Arabidopsis thaliana: one gene and its partners. The protein of the gene in region 3 interacts with the protein of the main gene of each other region in a pairwise test. Each region holds a gene or a part of one and is shown on either strand. Other genes may lie near its edges.

The links. The genes of interacting proteins can lie anywhere in the genome.
Region 1: the proteins of AT4G31060 (region 3) and AGL104 interact in a two-hybrid assay, tested with the Arabidopsis thaliana proteins (one large-scale study listed by BioGRID).
Region 2: the proteins of AT4G31060 (region 3) and AT1G01350 interact in a two-hybrid assay, tested with the Arabidopsis thaliana proteins (one large-scale study listed by BioGRID).

The regions. Positions count from the first base shown.
Region 1 is NC_003070.9:7,811,009-7,816,970, forward strand, and holds AGL104 (AGAMOUS-like 104), read right to left. Parts: upstream 3,338-5,962; 5' UTR 3,252-3,337; coding exon 3,067-3,251; intron 2,968-3,066; coding exon 2,914-2,967; intron 2,822-2,913; coding exon 2,789-2,821; intron 2,691-2,788; coding exon 2,672-2,690; intron 2,589-2,671; coding exon 2,527-2,588; intron 2,392-2,526; coding exon 2,364-2,391; intron 2,285-2,363; coding exon 2,223-2,284; intron 2,136-2,222; coding exon 1,875-2,135; intron 1,756-1,874; coding exon 1,590-1,755; intron 1,517-1,589; coding exon 1,379-1,516; 3' UTR 1,203-1,378; downstream 1-1,202. Other genes in the region: AT1G22140 (zinc finger CCCH domain protein), read right to left, coding at 4,150-4,284, 4,486-4,569. UniProt on the Arabidopsis thaliana protein: Probable transcription factor that forms heterodimers with the MADS-box proteins AGL30 and AGL65 and is involved in the regulation of pollen maturation at the late stages of pollen development and pollen tube growth.
Region 2 is NC_003070.9:133,660-139,364, reverse strand, and holds AT1G01350 (Zinc finger (CCCH-type/C3HC4-type RING finger) family protein), read right to left. Parts: upstream 3,276-5,705; 5' UTR 3,131-3,275; intron 2,699-3,130; 5' UTR 2,634-2,698; coding exon 2,549-2,633; intron 2,431-2,548; coding exon 1,607-2,430; intron 1,518-1,606; coding exon 1,395-1,517; 3' UTR 1,203-1,394; downstream 1-1,202. Other genes in the region: AT1G01355 (Putative endonuclease or glycosyl hydrolase), read right to left, coding at 20-162, 251-502, 587-768, 824-852; CNGC10 (cyclic nucleotide gated channel 10), read left to right, coding at 4,149-4,177, 4,261-4,783, 4,864-5,076, 5,159-5,454, 5,613-5,705.
Region 3 is NC_003075.7:15,113,754-15,119,008, forward strand, and holds AT4G31060 (Integrase-type DNA-binding superfamily protein), read left to right. Parts: upstream 1-2,394; 5' UTR 2,395-2,435; intron 2,436-2,579; 5' UTR 2,580-2,808; intron 2,809-2,901; 5' UTR 2,902-3,142; coding exon 3,143-3,706; 3' UTR 3,707-4,003; downstream 4,004-5,255. Other genes in the region: AT4G31040 (CemA-like proton extrusion protein-like protein), read right to left, coding at 1-128; AT4G31050 (Biotin/lipoate A/B protein ligase family), read left to right, coding at 592-722, 808-1,072, 1,159-1,309, 1,401-1,690; AT4G31073 (uncharacterized protein), read right to left, coding at 4,280-4,419, 4,731-4,809; AT4G31070 (PPR superfamily protein), read right to left, coding at 4,943-5,255.

The DNA.
Region 1 (5,962 bases), on a different chromosome or scaffold from region 3:
TGAGATTTGGTGAAATTTTAGAAATATGAAGTTATATTTCAGACATCATAAACTTGAAATTTTTATAAATTCTTTAAATTAACGATTTTATAAAATATTGTGCAAAATTTTATAATTTTGGTAACCCAGGCAAAGATTGGTCCAAAATAAGCATTTTTCTTTGACTTTTGAAATATGGGATCTACAAAGACACAACACAGAATCTGCAAATATGGAGACCAACCAAAAATCCAAATTTGCCAGATTCTGCCAAGTCAACAACAAAATTATAGAATATTGTCGGTTTTAGAAAATTATAATGGATAGATTACAGGGGAAGGAAAAAAATCTTAAGATTATTTCTTAATAGAAAAAGACTATTAAGGAAGATAATAGACAATTAAGGAAGAAAATCTAAATCTGATGAGAAATATCTATTCAGTTTTTCTTTCTTTTTTTTTTGTCTTAACTACACAAGTGGAAACGAAATACAGTAAAACCTCTATAAATTATTATTCGATAAATTAATAAATTTTTCCGGTATAGAGTTGGGACCAATGTAAAAATTGATACAAATTGATAAATTAATAAGATAATAATTTTTTTGAAAATTTTATATAAATATATGGTCCTATCAATAGTATAAATTAATAATTGTATAAATTTACAAATATTTATTATAAATATCATATGTAAAATATGATTCTATTAATGTTTTTCTTCAATTTTATTAATTTTTTGTAGTATTCAATTCTAGTATTTTACAACATCAAAAAAAATTTGTATTATTTTTTAAACTTAATAATTGTTTTATACTTGTAATTGGTTTCATAAATACTATCGATTATAAAGAAAAAAACTACATCTTATATTGAATTATTGTAAGAATTTCCAAAATTTGTACAATTTTATTAATTTATCGATAAATAATATCTCTCTAAATTAGTAATTTTTTTTGTCTCAATATTATTAATTTAAAGAGATTTTACTGTAGCCATGTTTTTAGTATAAACTGAGAAGATAAAATTTTCCGTTACAAATTAACAACAAATTGTGTAGTAAAAGGTTATTTATGTGTCAGATTTTTCTTTTTTGTTGTCTTCTCCTGACTATAACTTCTATGGCAGTGTAATTTTGAAAAAAAAAAGAAACAGAACACATATAAGAATAACATAATGAAGATAAGATTTCTTTTTTTTTGTGAAAATTAAAGAAGATAAAACTTGATTTGCTTTTCGCCCATAAAACTATAAAATGGTGTTGCCAAAAAGAATAGTATACAAAAATAACACGACTCTTCATCGTCTTCTCATGGCAAAAAAAAGTTCACTTTTTTATGGGTTGTTGGAAAAAAATATGAATAAATTTTTAAAAATGGTATACATAAATAAATAATACATTATTGGCTACTGAGTTGAGGAACCTTTGTTTCATAGTCGGAGACTTCATGATCAACTTGTGTCTCCGCCGTCACTCCCGGAATATCACTCTGCTGAGCTGGCATCATCTCTTCTATACTGGGACCCACACCTTCATGCTGGCACATTGACCAAAAAAGTCAACATTTTTAACTTAAGTTATTAAAGACAAAAAAAAAGACCAAAAAAAACCTGTTGCTGCATAGAAGCGAATAAGGCCGAGGATGAATACGCCTGAGCCCACTCAGGGAACATTTCACCATTGTGGTTCGTCACGTGGCATTCACTCATGTTGTTTTGGTTCGAGCTTGAGCTACTTCCTTGCAACAATGGTTCATACATTGCCGATGATAATTCTCTGCCAATTTTACATTTCTTTAAAGTAAAAATTTACTGAATTTTCTTGATCAAGATTATAAAAAAATGTGAAAAGTTTACAAATCTTCTTGATCAAAGAAAAAAAAACAATTATAGTACCTGAGTTGGTTAGAATGGGCCGATGCATCAAACAAATGGGTTTGATTGGTCCCATTTTCAGGTAGCCAACCTTCAACGACGTCATTTACAAAAGGACCACCAATGTTTGGTTGCATAGTAGATGCTTCATACGAAGATAAATGGTTGCTCATGAGATGGTCTCGCCGTTGGACAACATGTGTTAGAGTGTCGAGAAGTTGCTTCTCAGAAACTTCGTATTCCTCCATGGTCGTGAATCTTATTGGATCCGGTTCGTATCTCCTGCTCATATTATATAGTAAGCAATCATGATTTGAGTTAAAAAAATTATAAACTATAACATATAACATTTATTTTTCGAGTAAAAACCTTAGTTCTTCTTCTGCCATTTGGAGTTGTTGTTGTAACCTACAAACTTCATGCTCAAGTTCCTAGATTTCCGATTTCAAGCGAGACATTTAGAAATATATCTATGTCTTCTAATTAATTGATGGAATAACGATTAATTACCTCGACGTCAGAGTTGATAGCTGCAGGGCTTTTTCAAAATAATTATATGAAAGAAAAAAAAAGTTTAGTGTATAGTTTAAATGTGTTTTGAAGGAGTGTATCTTGGTAAACATATGAAAATTATAAAATCAATTATAACGACAAACCGAAGGAATTTACGGACTTCGTGACTTGAAGAGCGATGTCATTTTCAGTCTTGAGTTGCTGCAGAATCCTTAGTAGACACTTTCACATAACAACAACATTATTCTTGACTTTAAGGAAACAACATAATGAGGAACAAACTAATCACTATGATTAGAACTAACCTCTTTGTTTTGAATATCTCTGCAAACAAACCAAAAAAGAAAAGAGAGGGTCATGAAAAATTTATTATACCCATATGATCAAGTGTAATGTAACAAAAGAAAAACTGATATACATACGGGCGTCTATTCTGGTCAGGAAAGTATAGAGCACTGAAAGAAAACAAATCAAATAACCAAAGTCAAAATTTACTAAAAATGTAGTAATTTATAAAACTTGGAAAAGAAAGTAGTTTTTAGCGTACCTCTCTCGTTCTTGTTTAGGAAGATTGATGAATCTTGAAAAAACGTCTTCAATCCTAAAGAGACAGAGAACTAAGATATGATATGGTCCAAAACCTAGAAAGCTAGCAATGGAAAATGTTAATGAAAAAGGGGTAAATTAAATGATGTAATACCGAGTTTTTCCGGAGAAAAGGCTAAGGCGATCAGAAGGAGAGAACATGATAAGAGCAATGTCGATATCACAAAGAATCGACAATTCATAAGCTTTCTTAATCAAACCATTTCTACGTTTTGAAAACGTAACTTGTCGATTCGTTGTGTTCTCTATTCTCTTGATTTCTAATTTCACCCGACCCATATTGGCGAAGCAGGAAGAGATTTTGATTCATCCAAATCGTAAGTTGATATAATAATGCTGATCAGTAATCTACAAAACTTCAATCCAAAAAATCCTTGTTTGAAAATAATTTTGTTAATATATACGGAAGGAGGATGAAGAAAACTGCTTATAATTAGGCGAGTTAATAGGAACTAAAATTAGAATTTTTGACTATATTCCTTCTCTAGCCTCGTTTCGTTGTATATCGTTTTGGAGATTTCTTAAGTTTGCTCTTCTTTTTTCATCAAAATCTTTGGATAAACGGTGATGAGATTACGAGATACTCATATGCTGTTTAAGCATCAAAGACGCTAACTTTTATGAGTTTGATAGCTAAATAGTCCTCATGATACATCATAGCGCAGAGTTTGTTGTCTTTTTCGTCGACTCTATGAACTATCTTCACTAAAAATGTCCCATTAACACAATTTCAGTTAATGTCTCGACTTTTGTTTGCCTTTGAATATATATCAAACATTGAGGGATGTAACATTCAACCACCAAATTTCCAAATAATCAGAGCCAACGATTAAGTCACAATTACTGAGGACTAAATTTCTGATTTAACACTTGAGACAAAAGTGGGAACATGAGAGTACAACAACAAAAGAGAAACAGAGTTGGATCACAAATCATCGAGGAAATGTCTTAAATCACCTGAAACACACATAAATAGACAACATCAATAGATAATGCAGTAACAGATCTCTTTAGCTAGTTTCTTGAGATGAAACAAAAAAACACAACAATGGTTTCATCAGATCACACACAATCTGCAGATCCATTGTCCCAATTCATAAACTCAGATGCAAGTAGCAGTACTAATGAGAGTCGAATGATCTCTGTTACCTATGAAGAAGTAGTGAATAGACCAGAATCAATGATGAGTATCGTCGAAAACCCAAGGCTCATGCAAGAAAAGCTCACGACCATTCATTGGAACACGACCTGAAGCTATGTCCTCTTGTCGTTTCCTTGCTGCTTCAGCTTGTTTGGCTAATAACTCAGCATCCTTACAAGTAAACAACAAACTTAGGTTAATCAATAATGATGATTCTTTTGATTAACTTTATGTAAGATTCATTACATGAAAATAAACAACGAGGGCTTCCTAAAGATTATGCGTTTGAGTAGAGATATCAAATCTAGGGTTCTTCAAATCGATATATTCACTAGGAATCAACATGTAAAGGAGAAAGAGATAGAGAGATACCTTTTGGCGTTTCCAAGCGAGGAATTGATCTTTAGAAATTGAAATCTGTGTAGGTTTTGGCGTTTCTCCATTACCGGCTCCCATCGTTCAACGTTTTTCTCTCAACGCACGAATTTCAATATTTCTCTATTTTGATCTGTTTTTCTTCATAGGTTTCGTGATAATTATTGTTTTTTAAACGACAGCGTATTGATTGTCCCATCATAAGTTTCCTTTTCCTCGTTTCGTCGTCGTTTCAATGAATAGCTAAGATTGAATCCGATGGTCGTCATTTTTTTGTTATTTTCTTAAATTTTGAGTATGAACGAATACGAAATTGAATGGAGGAGGTTTAATCTTCGTGCTTGTATTGGTCCACTATAGTTTATTAAGATTTTCGAATGATAATGATACATAACTATTATCACAATCGATGGACTCTCTTTAGGATCCTAAAATTGTCTAATCATACATTACGGTTGCTATATTGGTGTCATTTTGCCAATGTGTATGTTTTTTCGTTTCTTTCTTGGTTTTTTTCTATCATGTGAATTTTATATAAAATTATCAATGGTAGGATATTTGATAGATTACAAATATACACCGGCGTAAACACAAGATTTTCCCAAACTCTATAAAAATGAAGCAAAGTAGTACTATGAGATAGAGGAGATCGAGCGATAGGAGAGTAAACCCATAATAGTATCTCTAACCCATCTCTATTTTAGAGATAAAAATAGAGATATGTTGAAGTGAAATTAAAGTAAAAATAGAGTATTGAGATAAAAATAGAGAAAAGTTAAAAACAATTAAACCCAATAAAACTAGAATCAAACCAAACCAAACCAAACATCCTATTTCCAAGAATTATTTTGAGAGAACGAAATGAAAATGCTCTCAACCAACCATTGCTACTCAAGACCTCTACATATTACAATCTGCATTAAAACATCAAGAGAATCCTAGACTAATGAATATGTTTTTTGAGCATTTATGTTTATTTTGTCAACATCAGATTTTAATCAACAAAAAAAAGTTCAATGTCATATTTTGGTTTTTCAGTATGGCGATATATATAATCAAAAGCGTCATATAAAATTGTAATTCTCGCCCATTGCCAATACAAAACTACACAAAACGAGCATCACCTTTTACCAATTAAGTATTGAAATGCTATTATCTAAAGGCAATTAATATGAGTCCTCCAATGTAATGGTTAATCAATATATTCGCGAATTGTGCTTAGAAATGAAGCCAAATTGAAAAAAGTTTGTCAGTATTATTCGTGAACCTACCATTTTGTTGTATTAAAAAAAAGTTTTTTCAACGTCAAATTCTTTTTGTAAAGATTCTTTTTTTTGTTTTTAAATAAAGTTTACACTACAAAAAAAAATCCATATTTAAATTACATGATAATATGCGGCTACCCGTCGATTCTTATGGAGAGGCAAAAGATGGAACACATAACTGAAGTAACTCCAGCCTTCTCGCTTAGGGT
Region 2 (5,705 bases), on a different chromosome or scaffold from region 3:
TTTTGGCTAGGATGCTTACTTCATGTGCATGTTCTTCACTCTTGAGATGCGTGGAGAAGTTTTCAAAGCCTTGGACAGTAAATCTGCATTGCTCACAAAGCAAGGCAGGTTCACCCATCTCGCCGCACTTGTCCTCCTGAGGTGCCCCTGAATCCATATCATCTGCGTCCGTGGAGATAACTAGGTCAGACACAGCTTAACTATTTCAACACTGTACTGAGTGTGAGAGAGAGAGAGAGAGGACAAGGACCTGCTGCTGGTAAGCTTGCCAGTAAGCTTTCCCAGAGGAAAGACCCTGTAGAAGGGGAGGCGGAGGATGCGGCTTGTTGAGGATCATCTGGAAGAATAGACCGAACAGTGTTGTATCCGATCCTACCTAGCATGTCAAGAGTGGTCAAGTAGATATGCTCGTACGATATGAGCATTAAATTAGCCGGAGGTTGATTATACCAGGTCCACTTAACCACAGCCCACCCAATCCCTGAGAGAGCTGTTTCGGAAACTATAAGACTTAAAAACAAAAACAAAAAGGGCAAATAGAAGCAAAACCCTAATTTTAGAAAATGAAGGATGAGAAGATATAAACCGGTGGGAACGTGATGAAGAGCGATTCCAGAGGAATGGACTTGTCTGAGGAAGTCATGAGGGACGTCTGTTAGTATCCCAACGGCAGTGATGGTGAGAGGACCAGAGTAGCCTAATTTCTCCAAAGCCCGTTTTATACACGGACCGACCCTGCGAACATCAACGTCAGCCGGAACCGGACACCTGTTGATGTCCCACCAGACGCGTGTTACAGCCTTAGACTTTGGCACGACCTCACCCACAGGCCACAGCCTTCGCCTTCCTCATCATTCAAGACTTGGAAAATCTAGAAGATCGGAAAGCCAGAGAGAAAAAAAGAGATGAGAACATTCGATCGAACCTTGTAGGACAAATAATTACCTGTTCAGATGCGTTTTCTACCCCATAGAACTACCTTGTTACCGCTACTTGTGGTGTGGTTTATTTATGGGCCGATTCGCGTTGCCCATTAACTGTATCTTAGCGCACGGGCCCATTAGATTAAAAAGTTTGGTAAGGAACTTTACTTTTGGCCTGTTTATTAAACGACCGCGTTTTCAATTTGGGAAGCAAATTTCTATATCAAAATATGTGAATCAGGATATCGAGTTTGACGACTATTATTCTGACGATGATTTACTAGGAAGTTGACTCCAAAACTCTGATTCAATTTTCAGTTTGTTTAAATTTAAAAGTTAATCAGTTTGAAACAACTATCGTCGTCATCCGAATGAATATATATAGGCCAGTGAGTACAACAAAACAAAAAGCTTTCCTCAAGTAAATAACCAAATATAGTTTTTGCCTTTTTGTCCAGTGAAACAAGGACTTCACAATCCTTGTTCAGCTTTACTCCGTTCTTCAGCCATTCTCTTCTTGATCTCATGTGCTGCATTGAAAATCCCCATTGTTGGTTGGTTACACACAAAGCACTTCTTGTTCTTCGTGTGATGCTGCATCATTACATTAAACAAAACTCGCTAGTTTCACACATTTCTTCACAACTAAAAAAAAAACAGACTCGTAATTGTGATGATCATACCTTTAAAGCACAATGCTCACAGAAGTAATGCTTGCATTTGGTGACAACTGGATCAACAAAAGGCTCCCTGCAAATGAAGCAAGCAAAGGGCAATGCATTTTCGTCTTCGTCGCTATCCTTGTCAGCCTCATCATCTTCATCCTCAACTCCCATAGCTTTATTTCTCTTCCTAACTTTCTCTGCTTCTTCCCACTCTTTCTCTATCTGCCATCCTGGTTTGTAATCCCCACGGTCATGCAAGAACTTACACGAATCTCCATATCCACAGTATCCGGTTTCTTTGTAATCCTTGCAAATGTCTGGCTGGTAATCGAATCTAGCCGACACTCTTATGTGAGCAGAAGCTCTTAATGGCCCGTGTGAGCCTCCAGCTTTCTCGCTCGAGATTGTTTGTTCTCTTCTAAACCCAGCTTTGTGATCTGTATATCCATGAATTCCTTTGTACAGCTTCTCATCAGAAGCCTTTTTCTTATTCCCTTTCAATGCTTCGTCTGCTTTTTTAAGAACTCTCTCACGGATAGCTCGTGCGTCTTGATTGAAGTCGGTCTCAGTTTCAAGGGTTGCTGTTGCTCCACTGTCGTTCTGAACCTGGATTTCCTTGGATGAATCGTAGTGAAAGACGGACCTCTCAGGAGCTCCACTCGTTGTAGTAGAACTCTTAGATGGTCCAGAAGAAAAGTATAACTTGCTATCGGGTTTTGCAACTTTCTTTAGATTTTGTAGAATAGAGCTTTCGCTTTTCGAATCTCCGTCTTCTTCATCAGCGTCAATGGTTCTTTTTCTTATGTTTTTACTTTTCGTTGGCTTCTTGAAGAAAGTGCAAACTGAAACAGAAGAATGATTTGATTAGTGTAAATGAAAATTTCTAGCTAACAACGAAGAACAAGAAAAAATCTCAATGAGACGACAACTAGAATTGAGATAGAAGGAAGTATATGTAACCTTGTTGAGACTGAGTTTCTTGGGCAGCAGGTTGAGGTAGAGGTTCTTCTTGCTGAGAAGGTTTAGGCTCACCAGAATCTGACATAGTTAGATATAAGACTATGTAACAAACACAAATCACCCACTTGTAATTTGCTGCTTAGTGTTTCCCTGCAAAATTCAAGATTAGTATTAAGTCAATTTCCTGAAAACTTGTAAATTTGTTTGCACTGAGTCAAACAACAATTTTATCAAAATTTCTCCAGATTCAGTTACAATAATAGACAATGCAACATAAAAATGATCACCTGAATTCTTCCTAATTCATCTACGCGAGCTCACGAATAAACCCTAGCTAACTATCTATATCGGTGGCAATTTCATTCACAGTAGATAAGGAAGCAGAAATAGAAGCTCCAGACAGATCAATCCGAAACACAGTTCGACAACTCGATGTGTCAACGGAAGCTACAAAATTTGGAATCTAAAAACCCTTTGAATTGATTGAAATTGGAGACAAAAGCTCGAACAACACTAAAGACTAAACAAGAACGAAAAGTAGATCAAAAGTATGGAGATTAAACACAAGGAAGAATATGTTACCTTAAAAAAAAATCTAAAAATCGACGCCGGTGAGCTACACCGTCAAAAAGAACGACGACGCCGTCCGTATTTTCCGACAGAAAATAAATCAGTGTGAAGAGAAAAGAAATAAGGAACATATGGTGGGGCGGTTACTTCATTTTGGGTCATGAATCTAAATGGGCTCAATATTCATAATGGGCCCGGTACTTAAAATTTGGCAACTTGCTTATTCTCGCCGTCTGACTTTGACCAAGTCATTCATCTGAATGAAATTGTTTTATGAAATGATTTTCAATTGAACAGACTTTATAATATTTAATTGCATAATATTCCTCTTTCCCTCCCTTTTTGTCGTATAATAAAATTCTCATATACTACTTTTCCAGGAAACAATATACAGAGAGAGATACAAGTAACCGCCATATGAGTCTCTCTCTCTTTCCAGCGACGACGGGACCAGTTGCTTGAATTGAAGAAAACGCCGTTCACCGACTTCCGTTTATTAGCCGAATCTTACTATCTCGCCGTTACCTACTTCGTTTCAGGTTAGTTTGATGATAGAATTTTGATTCCGATTTCCGTTTTTGTTCTTTTTCGTCTGAATTTATTTTGCTGTTTCTCAGAACCGAAACGCTTAGATATATGTCTTTCGTTTATGGTCAATGGTTTTTTGAAATTTGGATTTCTTATCTTTGATGAACAGTGTTTTTAAGTTGTTCGTGTGGTTTCCATTTATTGAGCAGGAATGGGTAGGAATTACAGGATTTGGTATAATCTAATGTTAGGTGGAAATTGACTGATTCTAGGTTCTCTAATTAACCTTTTCAAGAAAGAAATATTTAAAAACACATACACACAACACAATTGTATTTGTAGTTAGGTGTCTACTTGCTTATTTTTAATTGGTATTGGGGATTATCATTGTACGTAATCATGTAGAAGAATTCGTATGTCTTAAGTTTTGGTTCTTATTATAATGTTAGGACTCGTCACCCTGTAAGCGAAAGATCAGTTGAAATATACAAGGGTTTGGCTGATGGCATTTAGCCATGATAATCGTGTAAGGTTGGTAGTTACAGAAAATCTTGAAAACAGTTCATAGTTGAATGATTTTTTCTACTATCTCATTTTCTTATGATTTTGTTTAGGTTCAAAGATGAAGGCAAACCATTATCCTCTGAATATGGTTATGGAAGAAAAGCTAGACCTTCTTTAGATAGAGTTTTCAAGAATGTAAAATGGGGATTCAAGAAGCCATTGAGTTTCCCTTCACATAAGGATCCTGACCACAAGGAAACATCTAGTGTTACTCGGAAGAACATCATAAACCCGCAGGATTCGTTTCTCCAGAACTGGAACAAAATATTTTTATTTGCTTGTGTGGTTGCTTTGGCGATTGATCCATTGTTTTTCTACATTCCCATTGTCGATAGCGCAAGGCACTGTCTTACTTTGGACTCAAAGTTGGAGATAGCTGCGAGTTTGCTTCGTACGCTCATCGATGCCTTTTACATTATTCACATTGTGTTTCAGTTCAGGACAGCTTACATCGCTCCTTCTTCGCGGGTTTTTGGAAGAGGTGAACTGGTAGATGATGCTAAGGCAATAGCCTTAAAGTATCTCTCTTCTTACTTCATCATTGATCTACTCTCTATCCTTCCTCTCCCACAGGTAAATGACTAGTTTGATTACTTGTTCAAAATGTCAATGATCATTTCTTTTTGAATCCTCTGGCTTCTTAACTTTTGCAGATAGTAGTTTTAGCCGTTATTCCAAGCGTCAACCAGCCAGTCTCTTTGCTAACAAAAGACTACCTTAAATTTTCCATAATTGCTCAATATGTTCCTCGGATTCTCCGTATGTATCCGCTTTACACTGAAGTGACAAGAACATCTGGCATTGTTACTGAAACAGCATGGGCTGGAGCTGCTTGGAACCTCTCTCTCTATATGTTAGCCAGTCATGTGAGTTTCGGATCTTTTGATGACTGAATCTTTATACATGTAAATGCATATTAAAGGTTATATGTTAAACTTACTTATTCAGGTGTTTGGAGCTTTATGGTACTTAATCTCAGTAGAACGAGAAGACAGATGCTGGCAAGAGGCATGCGAGAAGACAAAAGGTTGTAATATGAAATTCCTCTACTGTGAAAACGATCGTAACGTTAGCAACAATTTCCTGACCACTTCTTGCCCATTTCTCGACCCTGGTGATATAACAAACTCAACCATCTTCAACTTTGGCATCTTCACTGATGCTCTTAAGAGTGGCGTTGTTGAATCACATGATTTCTGGAAGAAATTCTTCTACTGCTTCTGGTGGGGTCTTCGAAATCTGAGGTTTGTAAGACACACATAAAACTGTTGACAATAACTAACTAGCTATATTTGGAGATTTTAAGCCGTGAAATGACCTGTTTATATTTGCATCTTAAGCATATATATCTGTCACAATTTAAACAAGTCATCATTCTCACAAGTTGCTTTTGTTGTTGCAGTGCATTGGGACAGAATCTCCAAACTAGCAAATTCGTTGGTGAAATCATATTTGCTATATCAATCTGCATATCTGGACTAGTCTTATTTGCTCT
Region 3 (5,255 bases):
CCCCACAACGAAATCGAATCACAAGGCTTATAACGAAGAAGAGAAGATGATGATGATTCAGGATCTGGGTTTTGACTACTGAATGATAAGCAGTGGCATAAGACCATTGACGAGCTCATCAAGGACATGAATCAAACCCAACATTGTTCGGACTTTAATCTCAAAGCAACAACACAGATTCTTCTACAAAACCCAGACAAACCAGCATATCTTTCTTTGTAAATTCAACAACTTTACAAAGCCCTATACCCGGAATCCGGTGAAGATAAGAATTAGGGTTCTTCAGCTCAGAAAGTTACCGAGAGAGAGAACCAGAAGCTGACCCCAGTTGTGGATAGTGGATACCAGATGATAGATAAAGCCACGCTCTTTTTTTTGTTTTGTTATCTTCTTCTTCAAATTAAGCTTGTAAAATATCTGTTATCCATAAAGATTGCTTTTTTGGTTTCAAATAATTAATTACATTTACATATTATTTTGTAGAGTCAAAATTGTTGTTTCCGTCGTTTTTGATTGGCTAAAAATTGAATGACTGTATATTTACAGAAATAAATTTTAAGTAAATTCCACTTTCTTCTTTAGTACAGAGTTATGGAGTTGCTGAATGGAGTAGAAACTCTAGTTTCGGGAATTCATCATCACCATCGTACTAACGCGAAGAGAAACAGATTAGTTAGATCTGTCAAGATCTTAAACTCCGGGAATCATGAAATCCCCAGAAAGTAAAGTTTCCTTTTTTGTGCTCTCTATTTTCTGTTTGAGGCATTTTAACGAACACCTTCCGTGCAATCACTATCAATTTTGCAGGTGCCTGTGTTTTGATCTTTACGACAAATTGGTTCCATACAAGAAAGCTTGGTCATGGCAGAAGAGCATTGTCGAGGAGAAAAAGACATTGATTGATAGAAACCAAGACTGCGCTGATACAGTGATTTTGTTACAACACTCTCCTGTTTACACAATGGGAACTGCTAGTACAGAGGATTATCTCAATTTCGATATAAAGGATGCTCCTTTCAATGTTTATCGAACTGAACGTGGTGGCGAAGTCACTTACCATGGCCCTGGTCAGGTAATAATGTCAACAATGCATTGGAAGTTTCTGTGTGTTTTCTAATGAGCTCTTCAAGCTGATTATAGGAATGTTTGAAAATGTAGCTAGTTATGTATCCTATAATCAATCTTCGAAATCACGAGATGGATCTTCATTGGTACCTCAGGATGCTTGAAGAGATTGTCATCCGTGTGCTTTCCTCAACTTTCTCCATTAAAGCTTCTCGTCTTGACGGTTTAACTGGAGTTTGGGTTGGTATGTCTCATATTTCAAATGGATGATTTTGTAAGTGATCTAATATATATTCCGAGATTGATTTCTTTTTGTTTGCAAATGGTATATATAGGCAACCAAAAAGTGGCGGCGATAGGTATTCGTGTGTCGAAATGGATAACATATCATGGTTTAGCTCTTAATGTCACTACAGATCTAACACCATTCAACTGGATAGTTCCATGTGGGATTAGAGACCGGAAAGTTGGAAACATAAAGGGCTTGCTTGAAGATGGAGAACACGGAATGGTTGATGATTTGAGGTTGATCGATATAGTTCACGAGTCTTTACTAAAGGAATTCTCTGAAGCTTTCCAGCTTCAGATCGAAAAGCAAACAGTTTCAGATCCTAATATTCTGTAAGCTGAGTCTTTTAAACGATTGGAGTGCTAAAAGGAAGGTGGTATTGGTAGAACAAAATCCTTGCAATCTCTATAGCATTCTTGTTAAGTTTTGAACATAATGATCTTATCTACATAGAAGGTTTTATTGGATGTTTTGTGACATTGTCTGCTTCTTGTTGATGTTTATATGAGATTGGTCTATTTACTTCTCTTTTGTTCTGTAAAGATTTGTGACTTAAGGGTTTTGGAAGAAGGGTTTAAGACATTGTTAGTTTCTGAATACATTCTTCCCACTTTTGGGCCTCTTTGGTAGTGAAGAGTCGTAGTAGCTGGGAAACCAAATAGTAACTCACAGGATTCCGTTCTTCGAGCACCTAGAAGAGGCATACCAATCAGTTTGTATACGAAATTTTCCAATAAGCATATTCTTGTGCGTGCTGCATTTAGTCATTTGCTGTAATTGAAGGCCAAGCCATTGCGTTAAAGAGAGAAAGGTAGCAATTACAGTAGTCTGATGAGTTCAAATCTGGATGTTTTGTATTAAATGCGTTTGCTCTGTAGAGAAATTTCCATAACTACCTGATATTTACTTAGATGAGTACCTGTCTCTTTGCAGTTTCCACATTTAACCAGTTTGCTGATGGAGATTCATGTGCTAAGTATGACGATCATCAAATGATCCCTTTGCAGTTCATCTAGGTGATAATAGAAGATTCTACAACTGTAGTACAAGATTATGTTCTAGACTTCTAGTGCATTGTGCAGTTAAGTATATAATTATGTAACTGAGAATATATGATCCTAGTTAATGTTTCTGATATCAGAAGATCTGCAGACCATTTTACCTTTCTTTCCCCTCTTTCCCTTTTCTCCAGTTTGATTCATTCTTTCCATTTCAATGTTGTTAGGCTTGGTTCCTCGGATTACAGGAATACGACAAGAAGCTCCGGTTCCAAATGTTTCCAGCAAGTGATGTCGATCAAACTTAATGCTTTGCTTTTCTGGTTAACATATGGACAACAAGATTAGAACTTTTGCTAGCTTTGGATTGATCGAATGGTATCTTCAGAAACTGCGGTGGTTCGTACGCGTGTCTCAACTTGGGGGAAAAAACGGTCATCTGACTTTAAATAAATCGTAAGTTCTTCCTCTCCTTTTTACTTTCTTTTTGCGGTGCCTCTCCTTTAAGAAACGTATGCTTGACAAATAAATTGGCTTTTACCTTATTAGTCGATCCCCGCGGATGCAACTCTCGAGGACTCTACTACGCTGGCACAATCGCAGTTTCTACATTGCCACGTGCTGTTGGTAAACATCGCGTGCCTCTCCATTTCATCACCACTTGCTCCATAGTTCAACACAAAAGTTCTTTCTGCTTTCAATACCCTTACTTTTCAGTTTCCACAGTCCCTGTACTTGTGCATAAAACTGTAAAACACTACTCTGAAAATTTTGCTTCTGTTAGGATATAATGCCACCCTCTCCTCCTAAATCTCCTTTTATTAGCTCTTCACTCAAAGGAGCTCATGAAGATCGCAAATTTAAATGCTATAGGGGTGTCCGAAAGAGGTCTTGGGGCAAATGGGTGTCTGAAATCAGAGTTCCAAAGACTGGACGACGAATATGGCTAGGTTCATACGATGCTCCAGAGAAGGCAGCTAGAGCCTATGATGCTGCTTTGTTCTGTATTAGGGGTGAGAAGGGAGTTTACAATTTTCCCACTGATAAAAAGCCGCAGCTTCCAGAAGGTTCTGTCCGGCCTCTGTCCAAGCTCGACATACAGACAATAGCAACAAACTATGCTTCATCAGTTGTGCATGTACCTTCCCATGCCACCACACTCCCGGCAACAACCCAGGTTCCCTCTGAAGTTCCTGCTTCCTCTGATGTTTCTGCTTCTACTGAGATTACAGAGATGGTCGATGAATATTATCTCCCAACCGATGCAACTGCAGAATCAATATTCTCAGTTGAAGACTTACAACTGGACAGTTTCCTCATGATGGACATTGATTGGATAAACAATCTAATCTGATGTGTAACGTCACTTGCAGTGACATTTAATATGGTTTAACTATCAGTTACCTGTCTGCTTCTTGTAAGGGTATACTTGGATCCTTGTCTTTGAACTTGTTTTATTTAGCATGCAGTTTGTTGTTTCTGTTTTGCATGTGTTCTTCCTTATGAGATGTTGGATATGAATGAAATGATTAGGAGTTGGCGTTCACACCTAAATCTTTGTTGCATGTTTGATGCATTTTTTCCTATATCGTTCACACATGATCTGCCTCTTTTTCTATACTTCTACTTCTACATAAACCATACTAGGACTTATAATCAACTTGTGGATATAATACAACATTATGCCAGCATATACTTGTGCTAGGCTACAAGGGTTGTCTTCTTATGGTCTCAAATACATATACTTCTATCTATCCCATGTTTGAAATGAAATTCTATGATATCTACTACATCAAAACTATCACCTATATTTTGGTTTCTGTTCTTGGTGTTTTGAGTTTCCTCAATCAATCCAACACAATGACATCATTCTCTGCTTCTTCCATATTCACATCAACATCTTCTTCAGCTTTCTCTTCTTCCTCCATCATGCTTTGATCAACCAAATTGCTACTTCTGGGTGTCGGTTCTTGAACATCCAGTATATCAGTTCCGTTGGCAAAGCCTCAACACCAAGCCTCTGTGAGCTGTTTGGATTCCAGTTTTGCAGTGATTTTGGTTTTCTCTCTAATAAGTTGCTCAAATCCCATAATCACTTATATTGATAGTGAATATATCAGTAAGAAAGATACTGCATGGTAGTTTATGCTAATATCCTCCTGAAAGAAAGAGATAAACAGCACTGATGAGCTCAAGGTTCTGATGAAACCACAAAAATACATTACATTACCTTCAGGCTTCAGAAATTGCAGGCTTCACTTATGGTATCTCTTTCAGATCCATATTTAGCGTAGTAGCACATCAACAAAACATCACTTAGAAAAGGCTCAGATCAGTTTGAGAAATGGATCCGTAGCAAAGCAGAGCACATCATATACTCGTGAAATGATCACACTGGCATCCCTCAGAGATAGGTCCAAGCAATAACAAAAAGCATGGATTAGAATCTGTGGCCATGTAAAATTAACAATCTTCTAAATCAAGTTCAGCAAATATTTACGAACTATTCCTTACTTGAGTTGTTGGAACATTCTGCATCAGTGATGCTGCTTTTGAAATGCAGAAAGAGAACAGTGCTTAGATAGAATCTTCATATAGGACTCCACGATTTTCCTTGGTAATCTTCAATCTGTAATTCAGGTTCAATTTTACTGAATCCGTAGCATTTGTTCAGTTTCCGTCTTTGCATAACCCTCCTTACTTCTTCTGCAGCATGGTAGTTACCAGATTCTGTGTGAATCTTGCTAAGCAATACATAATTGGCTGGATTATCGGGTTCAGATTTCATTAGCTCGTTTGCAATAATTTTTCCTGCAACATCAAGCCTGCCATGAGTCTCGCAAGCAGATAGCAGAGAACTCCATATTCTGGCACTTGGTTTCATTGGCATATTTATTGTGACC